Arabidopsis thaliana: one gene and its partners. The protein of the gene in region 1 interacts with the protein of each later gene in a pairwise test. Each region holds a gene or a part of one and is shown in the gene's direction. Other genes may lie near its edges. The genes, in order: TIFY10B, AIB and AT4G16430.

The links.
Region 2: the proteins of TIFY10B (region 1) and AIB interact in a two-hybrid assay, tested with the Arabidopsis thaliana proteins (one study listed by BioGRID).
Region 3: the proteins of TIFY10B (region 1) and AT4G16430 interact in a two-hybrid assay, tested with the Arabidopsis thaliana proteins (one study listed by BioGRID).

The regions. Positions count from the first base shown.
Region 1 is NC_003070.9:28,148,646-28,152,400, reverse strand, and holds the start of TIFY10B (TIFY domain/Divergent CCT motif family protein), read left to right. Parts: upstream 1-1,954; 5' UTR 1,955-2,142; coding exon 2,143-2,290; intron 2,291-2,609; coding exon 2,610-2,787; intron 2,788-2,879; coding exon 2,880-3,157; intron 3,158-3,244; coding exon 3,245-3,302; coding exon of another isoform or gene 3,303-3,306; exon of another isoform or gene 3,307-3,394; coding exon 3,395-3,482; 3' UTR 3,483-3,755. UniProt on the Arabidopsis thaliana protein: Repressor of jasmonate responses. Jasmonoyl-isoleucine (JA-Ile) specifically promotes COI1-TIFY10B/JAZ2 interaction. Activated by MYC2, MYC3 and MYC4 transcription factors.
Region 2 is NC_003071.7:19,091,264-19,095,018, reverse strand, and holds the start of AIB (ABA-inducible BHLH-type transcription factor), read left to right. Parts: upstream 1-1,645; 5' UTR 1,646-2,131; coding exon 2,132-3,755. UniProt on the Arabidopsis thaliana protein: Transcription activator. Positively regulates abscisic acid (ABA) response. Confers drought tolerance and sensitivity to ABA.
Region 3 is NC_003075.7:9,265,625-9,269,379, forward strand, and holds AT4G16430 (basic helix-loop-helix (bHLH) DNA-binding superfamily protein), read left to right. Parts: upstream 1-1,635; 5' UTR 1,636-1,881; intron 1,882-1,969; 5' UTR 1,970-1,974; coding exon 1,975-3,378; 3' UTR 3,379-3,554; downstream 3,555-3,755. Other genes in the region: ADA2B (ADA2 2B), read right to left, coding at 102-151; NAR1 (ferredoxin hydrogenase), read right to left, coding at 3,639-3,755.

The DNA.
Region 1 (3,755 bases):
ATTGGCAATAATGAATTGGAAGTTTGTGCAAGTTCCCTTTGAAGTATTGTCGGTCCAGAAATGCTCTAAAATGATTTGGGATGGACTAAGAATTTGTTATGAAGCTGAGTGTTTAAATTATGTGCAGTGTTTTACAAGAAGTTTCCCATGTTATGCTAGTGTTACGTCGAGGGAATCAACAGAGTTTGTTCAACTACCAAGAGCTAAGCTAAGTTTCTTAGGATCAAGATCTGATGAGCCAAAGACTTGGACAGGAGCTAAAACGTGCTAGAGATATCAGAGTTTGGATTCGCCATTAAAATTCTGTTTCTTGTGATACCTTCTTATTGGAAATCTTTGTAGTCTTTACATTTCTATTGTTTAACATGAAATCTCAAAAAATGCCAAATCAATTCTCAATTTTAAATTTAGTAGCTCTTGACAGTTTTCCCTTTGTTAATTACATATATAGAGAGTAACTAAATCATCTTTTGAAAGGTAAAAACTAAAAAAATATATTCCAAGGGCCCAATGTTTTACCACTTTCATATGTAAGCTTATTTTCTGTTAAATATGTGAAAGAAAGAAGAGGAATGAATCAGCTGTGAAAACCAAGAGCAAGTATAAAAACATGGCTAAAAGGGTATCAATCAGCCTTGTATAAGAGAGCCATAAGTAGATAAAGTTTCTACAGTAAAAACAGGAATATAGAGTACTATTCCTTAATTAGCTTATGTTCTTCTATTCTTCTTGTGACCTCTATCTTGCATTTTTGTGACCACCCCACTTGCCTTCTTCTTTTTGGTTGCATACTCTAAATAATATCCAGACTTTGATGTCTTTATGCGCTCTGGGTTCTTCTTGTGACCCCTCTTCCTTGTAATTGTATGTACCTGCAGCTTCTTCTGATTTTGTTTCTTATGGATATGTTTGTGATGTATAAAATTTTGTGAAGATGTTTATAAAACAGTTAAAAACCAAATTAACCAATCATCCTTATTTTCTCACGAGCCACTCTATGAACCTTACGTTATCTCGATGTACCTGTAATGAGTTAGCAATTACTACAATCCAAGTCAATAAAATAACAAGTTGGACGTTACGTTATAAAAGAAAATCAAACTTATTTGTGTGTTCCTAACAAACGCATGGGATAATAACAAGAGAATAAAAGACAGAGTGATAGGATCAACGGCTATTGTGCGTAGGAGAACACAGCTGCTATATAAGCCGCGTAACAGGTGATTACTCTGACTACGACACCAACAAGAAAAATTCTCTCAAATGTGGGCAGTTAAGTTAGACACGTGTAAGGTCGCGATTCATGGAGGAGACGTGCTCTTCCCGCTTTTTGTAATTATTTATTACTGTTGTCATAAATAAAACACTAAAAAAAAATTAATAAAAGGGAAAATACAAAACGTGATTTATGGATCAAATTTGCATTGGTGGTGGAGTTTTGGTTATGTAAGACCCACACCGTGTTCCCTCTATCTAACGCCGTTAATCCTCTTTTTTCCCCCAAATCATACCGTTAATTCTCTTTGAGTGCTAAAATATCACGCCGGTCTATGAGATTAAAATAGTAGACTAATTAATAGTGCTAAAAATACATAAATTAATGCCAAGAGATTCATCTTAAAAAAAAGGATATATGAACCAACTAAATGGTATAACTGAAAGACTATCATAATCAAATTTCATCTGAACATTGATTTGTTTGAACTAATTAATTTTAGGATTTTACGTTTTCATAATTTTTTATTTTATTTGAACATCTTGTAAGGGTAAAATGGTAAAAACAGGAGTAGTAAGAGGGTGAAATGGTTATTTCAAGTGTGAAGCGTGGGGACGTGGGTGACGGTGGTGATCTGAAACAGTGGTCTGCCGTTAAAACATTAAATTAAAACACGTGTTTTAAATGTCTCTATGTTAATTAATACTATAAGAGTATATTTTACTAATTTCCGTATCTGCAACCAGCGAAAAAAAAGTAATAAAGAGGTCCTCCATTTCTTCCTCGTGACAAAACGCACTTGGCAGAGAAAGATAAACAAGAACCCTAAGTTTTTTTATAAGATTCGAGAAAATTCAACAACTCAGGAAGGAAGATCCTTTTGCTCCAATTTCTCAATCGAAACGATTTCAATTTCGGTTTCAACGATGTCGAGTTTTTCTGCCGAGTGTTGGGACTTCTCTGGTCGTAAACCGAGCTTTTCACAAACATGTACTCGATTGAGTCGTTACCTGAAGGAGAAGGGTAGTTTTGGAGATCTGAGCTTAGGGATGACATGCAAGCCCGACGTTAATGGTAATCAACCTTTCTCTTTTAGATCTGTTCATTTCGTTTCTGCGAATTTTGAGTTTCCTGTTGCGAATTACGAATTATGAATCGATTACATGTTGTCTGGAAATTGAATCGTTGTAGAGAATCGATGATTAATGGATTTTGAATCAATTTCTATATATGTATGTATGTGTATGAATTTGTGGAGATGGTTCTGTGTTTGGTTTAAGCATAATCCTCTAAAGCCATAGGCCTGGTTTAGTCATTAAGTAGATTTTGTTTTGCAGTTGTTTGAGAGATTGGTGAATGATAATAATCTTTACTTTTGGATCAATTTTCGCAGGAGGTTCACGTCAGCCTACAATGATGAATCTGTTCCCTTGTGAAGCTTCAGGAATGGATTCTTCTGCTGGTCAAGAAGACATTAAACCGAAGACTATGTTTCCGAGACAATCAAGCTTTTCTTCTTCCTCTTCCTCTGGGACCAAAGAAGATGTACAGATGATCAAAGAGACTACTAAGTATGTGTTTATATGTATATAGTGAAAAGAATCGTCTCATATAGTAAGCTATGTTTCATCAGTTTAACTAATTTTTGTGTGATTTTGAACAGATCTGTGAAGCCAGAGTCTCAATCTGCTCCGTTGACTATATTCTACGGTGGTCGAGTTATGGTGTTTGATGATTTTTCTGCTGAGAAAGCTAAAGAAGTCATTGATTTGGCTAACAAAGGAAGTGCCAAAAGCTTCACATGTTTCACAGCTGAAGTAAACAATAACCATAGTGCTTATTCTCAAAAAGAGATTGCTTCTAGCCCAAATCCTGTTTGTAGTCCTGCAAAAACCGCAGCACAAGAGCCAATTCAGCCTAACCCGGCCTCTTTAGCCTGCGGTAATTGATCTCAGCCTCTTTTGGTTCAACCATCTCTGAGCTTGGCTTAGTCCTATTTCTCTAACTTTCTCTCTTTTTGATTTGTAGAACTCCCGATTGCAAGAAGAGCTTCACTTCATCGGTTCCTTGAGAAGAGGAAGGATAGGTAATGCATTTTAATGAAAACATAATATCTTGTTATTCCATAAGTTCTTGTTAAGCGAATTTCTCAATATCCTACTCGTAAACCTTTAACAGGATCACATCAAAGGCACCATACCAAATAGACGGTTCAGCTGAAGCGTCTTCCAAGCCTACTAACCCAGCTTGGCTCAGTTCACGGTAAACTTCGAGCCTGTCCGACCCAGAAGGCACAACTTGAGAGACCTTCTTGTAAGATTCTTCTGATGCTCCATCGTTACAAATATCAAGCTGCTCCTCTGTTCATTTTTTCTATAGATTAATTTCACCCCTAGTAGTTTTGTTTGTTTAACTCCCCCGAAAACTCATTATATTTGTATGAAATCAATATCAATAGTGTTCAATGTTTGCTTCTGGGGTTTAAGTTTTAGCCAGTGTGTATAACCCTTTCCTCTGCCGATCTCAACATTAGCTTGCA
Region 2 (3,755 bases), on another chromosome or scaffold:
ATCATTCGCTCTCTGCCATTCGATTATTGAGCCCTACTCTTATCCGTTATTGTTTTTTTATTCTCGTTGCATAATCTCACTAATGTATATATAACACTCGTTTGAATTTTGTTAAAACTATTTTGTTTTATTTTATATAAAATTACCGAAATTCAATCTACAAATTCAAATTTAAATTAGGTTCTCTACATATCTTAAAAAGATAAATAAGTGAAATTCATAATGATAAAGCCAATTTTGTTTTGTAACTATTATTAGCTTCTTTTTTCTTTTTTTTGAAGCAATGTATCTAATCTATTCTCTTCTAACGAAAGAGTATTAATTATTATAGACAAAAAAAAATAGTATTAAACAAGCCTACGCAAAACACGTTCAGTATTAGGTTATAGTTTTTAGTACTAATTAAAATATGAGATATGAGTTTTTTTGTTCTATTAGAACTTAAGAAGATAAAGAATTTATAAGTTGGTGCGACTCCGAATTACTCAAAAGACACCAATCATCGCGTTATCATCCTAATCTACAAAACAAGAGGTCAAATTTTGCATGTCACGTCACAATATTGTACATTATCATCACGTTTTTTTACAAAGCTTTAGTATATCAACGTATACATTTCAATGTACGAGTTTTCATTGTACTATCTATCCCTAAGTTTGAATTAGGTTTATCGAATCTCTTTCTTTATTTATATGCAAATTTTAATGATGTCATTTTAAATTATTATAAGAAAATATCCCCATACAAAACATGGTGAGGCTTATCTCATGCGATAATACTTTAAAATAGGTTATGAATATAATCATGTAATTATAAAAAAAGTTTTTAATTAATGGGGAGAAAACAATTAGAAAACTACAAACACATGATGATAGAAAAGTAGGTTAAAAGTCCATCACATGGTGCTCTCTCACAGAACGAGACCCTTTTTGTTGAACGTTACTGTTGGGCATGAGATTCACGCAAATCCTATGCGACAAATAATTTTCTTTCCATAAAAATCTAAATAAAGAAAGAACGTACCATTTTTTATATCGAAGTTAAGGACTATATATATACTATTGATAAGAATAATATACTCAGACTATACTATTAATTAAATGGACCCACGTTAATAACGATGTCTGAAATAACCAAAACCCCACCAGACAATTCAGACAATATTTCTTTGTTTCTTTATGCATGTGAGTTATTTTTATTGGTAGAGAAAAAAATAAAAACAAATAATTAATTTAGTACTATTTAGTACATAATAAATTTTAAAATATTTCGACCATGTGATCTATACTTCTTAAGTACATTACTATAATTTGAATCTCTCACGTAGGTACATACACACGTGTGTACACAAAACACTATTTTCTCTAAAATTTACCAAGTGCAAATATCGTTGTTTCACTAAAATCACCATCAAGTATGTATTACTTTTACGAAATTAATCGGATTTGGAGACAAATTCAAAGACTAGCCAGATTTAGGGGTGAGATAATCCATTTGCAAAATAGATTTGAAAAGAGATTTTAGATTTTCTATCTTTATTCGGAGAGAAACAATCAAAGTAAGTGAACTTAAAATCAGGAAACAGAGTTAATAATCAGAGTAATTATTAACCATGGTTAAGTTGAATAACCAAAGTAATTAACGTGCATAAGTAACCATGGTTGGGTTTTTAAAAAGAGCTTTCATACAAACTTCAATTACCCCAGCAAGTCTTGTCTCCTTCTCTCTCTCTCTCCCTCTCTAACTGTATCTTCTTCTTCTTCTTCAACCTTCAGACTTTTCTAGTTGCAACTCTCATTCAATTGTTCAATTTCTCTGTAAAAATCAAAGCTTTTTGGAATCTTTCTTCGGCGAGATATTTCTTCACCGGCGCAAGCTTCTCTTGAGCGTGATTCATCACTGGGTTTGCATTTTTTCCTGGTGGGTATTCTTCAAATTGTTCAAAGCTCCGACCTTTTCTTCCTTAGAATCTGATTACTGGAATCTTGAAGCTGGAGAGACTCGAGTTTATATGGTTTCAAGCATCGTTGAGTCAATCATTGAGTTGTGTAGAAGAAAGGTTTGGTTTTCTTCTCCGTTTAAGTGGTTTTGGGTTTGGTAGGATTTGGTGTAATCTGGGAGATAAAGAAAGATGAATATGAGTGATTTAGGTTGGGATGATGAAGATAAATCGGTGGTTAGTGCTGTTTTAGGGCATTTAGCTTCTGATTTTCTTCGAGCAAACTCTAATTCGAATCAGAATCTCTTTCTTGTTATGGGAACTGATGATACTCTGAATAAGAAGCTCTCTAGTCTCGTTGATTGGCCAAACTCGGAGAATTTCAGCTGGAACTACGCTATTTTCTGGCAACAAACCATGTCTAGATCCGGACAACAAGTCTTAGGTTGGGGAGATGGGTGTTGTCGAGAGCCTAATGAGGAAGAGGAATCAAAAGTTGTTAGGTCTTATAATTTTAACAACATGGGGGCAGAGGAAGAGACATGGCAAGATATGAGGAAGAGAGTGTTGCAGAAGCTTCATAGGTTGTTTGGTGGATCTGATGAAGACAATTATGCTTTGAGCTTAGAGAAAGTTACTGCTACTGAGATTTTCTTCTTAGCTTCCATGTATTTCTTCTTCAATCACGGTGAAGGCGGTCCTGGGAGGTGTTATTCTTCAGGGAAACATGTGTGGCTCTCTGATGCAGTTAACTCTGAGTCTGACTATTGTTTCAGGTCTTTTATGGCGAAATCTGCGGGAATCAGAACGATCGTTATGGTTCCTACTGATGCTGGTGTTCTTGAGCTTGGTTCTGTTTGGTCTTTGCCTGAAAACATTGGCTTGGTTAAGTCTGTTCAAGCTTTGTTCATGAGGAGAGTTACGCAACCAGTAATGGTGACTTCAAACACTAACATGACTGGAGGGATTCACAAGCTTTTCGGGCAGGATTTGAGTGGAGCTCACGCGTATCCTAAGAAGCTCGAAGTGAGAAGAAACTTGGATGAGAGATTCACTCCTCAAAGTTGGGAAGGCTATAATAACAATAAAGGTCCAACATTTGGTTACACACCTCAGAGGGATGATGTGAAAGTGCTAGAGAATGTGAATATGGTTGTAGATAATAACAATTACAAGACGCAGATTGAGTTTGCGGGATCATCAGTTGCTGCTTCTTCGAATCCATCTACAAACACTCAGCAAGAAAAATCAGAATCTTGTACAGAGAAAAGACCAGTGAGCTTGTTAGCAGGAGCAGGAATAGTTTCTGTTGTTGATGAGAAGAGACCGAGAAAGAGAGGGAGAAAGCCTGCAAACGGAAGAGAAGAGCCATTGAACCATGTGGAAGCTGAGAGGCAGAGACGCGAGAAGCTTAACCAAAGATTCTACGCTTTACGATCAGTTGTTCCAAACATTTCTAAAATGGACAAGGCTTCTCTACTTGGAGACGCAATTTCTTACATCAAAGAGCTTCAAGAGAAAGTCAAGATAATGGAAGATGAAAGAGTAGGAACAGATAAGAGCTTATCAGAATCAAACACAATAACAGTAGAAGAAAGTCCAGAAGTTGACATTCAAGCTATGAATGAAGAGGTTGTTGTAAGAGTAATCTCGCCTTTGGATTCACATCCAGCTTCAAGAATCATACAAGCAATGAGAAACTCAAATGTTAGTCTAATGGAGGCTAAGTTATCATTAGCTGAAGACACAATGTTTCACACTTTTGTGATAAAGTCTAACAACGGGTCGGATCCATTGACGAAAGAGAAGCTTATAG
Region 3 (3,755 bases), on another chromosome or scaffold:
AACTTGAAATTCAAATCAATTTCAGCACAAATTGGCAATTACAAAAGAGAAATCCACAAAAACCCCAAATCGGAAATTAGAGTAGTGAATTAGGAACAAACCTCTGAGTAGGGTCTTCGAAATTTTGGAAGTTCCCTCGAGAGCGACCCATTGATGCCCAAGTAGAAAATTGGATTATTGGGTTATGCGAAACCACAGAGAAGAAGAACCCTAGCGTAATGCCAACATGGGAGACTCACCGGAGAAGATGGAATGGGTACTTGGGGGGGTTTCGTGGAAGAAAGATCTAATCGGAATTCAACAAAACTCGGTCGAAATTTGTGAGGTTTTGGATCTCTACTAATATTATTCAGAAGTTCCGACCGAGAAGATTAAAATTAGGGAAGTCGAGGTAAAGGAAATTTCTAAGGCACTGTACTTTTTAGATTTTTTGGGATTAGACGGTCATGCTTATTACTAAAGCATATGACTTAAACTAAATTGACTCTTATAACTTCAACTTAAAAAACTATTATTTTTTATGTTAATTGTTGAATGGTGGTTGAGGGAAAAAAAAATGAAGAAAAAAAAGCTAAGATAGACCATTTTTATTGGTAATTTTTTATTATTAAAATAATAAAAATAATAAAAGGAAAAGAAAGAGAGTGTAGAATGTTTCTCGTTAAACTATGAAATACTTTATACAAACCATCATAATATTTTTCTCTTTTCAATTGGTTCGCTAAAATAAAAATTTAATCATATATAAAATTATAATAAAATACTAATATTCTTTTTGTTTGAAAAACTGTTTGGGTTTCTTCTTGATGGAGATGTCTTTAATATTTGGTTGGGTTATGGTTATTCGTTTTTAGGTATTTTGTTCATGGACATTTTCAGTAAATGAATTAGCAAGTAAATAAACTTGTATAGGAATAAATGGTTAGTGTTGTCACACACTATCGGAACAACATTATGATGTATTTTAAAATCTTATTGATGCTAATTTGAAAAATTGATTTGGAAGAAGGTTAAGCAAGGAAACAACCATATAAGATAGTTTGATGCTAATTTAAAGTTTCTTATTTTGGTCGAAAATCGAATTATTAGAAATGTTTGAACCTTTTTTATTAGACATCTAGTGATAAATTTTATAAGACTCATGTCAATCGAATAAAAATATCGAATTGTTGTTTTGCTGAACGAATAAGTTTGTCTATATTAGACGCGATTAGTTCTTCTAAACCACATTATCCAAAAAAATCGTGATTGACTACATGGTGTAATGATACCTATCATACCATCTCAAGAATATGGCATGACTCATCCAATTAACAATTGTATTTGCGCATAATTGTAAGATGTGTAAATTCCTTTTCCGCTTATTAACGGTGATTTGCGATAAGTTAATTCAGAAGACGAGTTTCGATTCTCCCATCATAATAGGTTGTACTACGAAATAATTTCCCAACATGTACACATAATCTCGACAAAAATCCAGTGATATGGGTTTACTTGTAGTTGAATAGATATTACACCACAATGACTTGTGGTTTGGTATGTAAGAAAAGGCAAAAGTATAGTTTGCAGTTAAAAAACTGAAGGAAATGATGTCCTTGGTATTAAATTACGATTAAACCCATATTCTCTCTCTCGCATAGTCTCTTCCTCTTTTCTTCTTTCTTCGTCAATTTCAGAACAAGTCACTACAGATCTGAAGTGAACCAAGCTCAGGTTTTGTCTTCTCTTTGATCATTCCTTTCTCAGCAATATAAATTAGAGTTATATCCTTTATAAAGGATTTTGCTTTTTCACCAACAAACCCTAAATTCGGTGTCTCAGCAAGAATCACGTGATTCTCGTTCCTCTTCCTCACGAAACCCATCATCTTCTATCTCATTTGTAAGCAGCGATCTCAATCCAAATACCTTTAATTTTATTTGATTCCATACCCTAATTTTTGTATATTCCATGTCAATGAACGTTTCAGGAGAAATGGGTCAAAAGTTTTGGGAGAATCAAGAAGATCGAGCGATGGTTGAATCCACCATAGGCTCTGAAGCTTGCGACTTTTTCATCTCAACAGCTTCAGCTTCCAACACTGCCTTGTCCAAGCTTGTCTCACCACCAAGTGATTCCAATCTCCAACAAGGGTTACGTCACGTTGTTGAAGGATCTGATTGGGATTATGCTCTTTTCTGGCTAGCGTCCAACGTTAATAGCTCTGATGGTTGTGTCTTGATCTGGGGAGATGGTCATTGCCGTGTCAAAAAGGGTGCTTCAGGTGAGGATTACTCTCAGCAAGATGAGATCAAAAGACGTGTGCTTCGCAAGCTTCACTTGTCGTTCGTTGGTTCAGATGAAGATCATCGTTTGGTGAAATCAGGAGCTCTTACTGATCTCGACATGTTTTATCTGGCTTCTTTGTACTTTTCCTTTAGGTGTGATACCAATAAGTACGGTCCTGCTGGAACCTATGTGTCTGGGAAGCCTCTTTGGGCTGCAGATTTGCCTAGCTGCTTGAGTTATTATAGGGTTAGGTCTTTCTTAGCTAGGTCAGCTGGTTTTCAGACTGTGTTGTCTGTACCAGTGAATTCTGGAGTTGTGGAGCTTGGTTCTTTAAGACATATTCCAGAAGATAAGAGTGTGATTGAGATGGTGAAATCAGTGTTTGGTGGGTCTGACTTTGTTCAGGCTAAAGAAGCTCCTAAAATCTTTGGTCGACAGCTGAGTCTTGGTGGAGCAAAACCTCGGTCTATGAGTATTAATTTCTCCCCGAAGACCGAGGATGACACGGGTTTCTCATTGGAATCGTATGAGGTGCAAGCGATCGGAGGCTCTAATCAAGTGTATGGTTATGAGCAAGGGAAAGATGAGACATTGTATCTAACTGACGAGCAAAAGCCGAGGAAGAGAGGGAGAAAACCAGCAAATGGAAGAGAAGAGGCTCTAAACCATGTGGAAGCGGAACGGCAGAGGAGGGAGAAGCTGAACCAGAGATTCTACGCTTTGAGAGCGGTGGTGCCTAACATCTCCAAGATGGACAAGGCTTCGCTCCTTGCAGACGCAATCACTTACATCACGGATATGCAGAAGAAAATCAGGGTGTATGAAACAGAGAAGCAGATAATGAAGAGGAGGGAGAGTAATCAGATAACTCCAGCAGAGGTTGATTATCAACAGAGGCATGATGATGCAGTTGTAAGGCTAAGCTGTCCGTTGGAAACTCATCCAGTTTCAAAGGTGATACAAACGTTGAGGGAGAATGAAGTTATGCCTCATGATTCCAACGTGGCCATCACAGAGGAGGGTGTGGTTCACACATTCACTCTCCGGCCTCAGGGTGGCTGCACCGCTGAGCAGTTGAAGGACAAGCTCCTTGCCTCTCTATCACAGTAACTATCACAGCAGTAACTGCTATGTAATAAGTGTAACCGTGTTGGAGGTTGTATCAATGTACTATTGCAAGCCAACCAAAAAAAACTCCAGCTTAGTAGGATCGTGTAATTTTCCTTATATGTAATGTTGAGATTTGTCTTTTACATATAAAGATTTGAGCAGAAAGCTTCACACTTATCTCCTATCTAAATACACAATATAGAACCGTTTTTGTTGCCTTGTCAGTCAAAAAATTTGAACACTTCCAGTTTGTCTACGGTCTACCAGTTGTTGAGCTGCGACGTAACACTTTTCACGACCGGATGGTACTGAGTATGCAAGTACTTCTTCGCCTCGTTGGAACCAGGCTCTTTAAGCCACTCCTCGAATAATCTCTT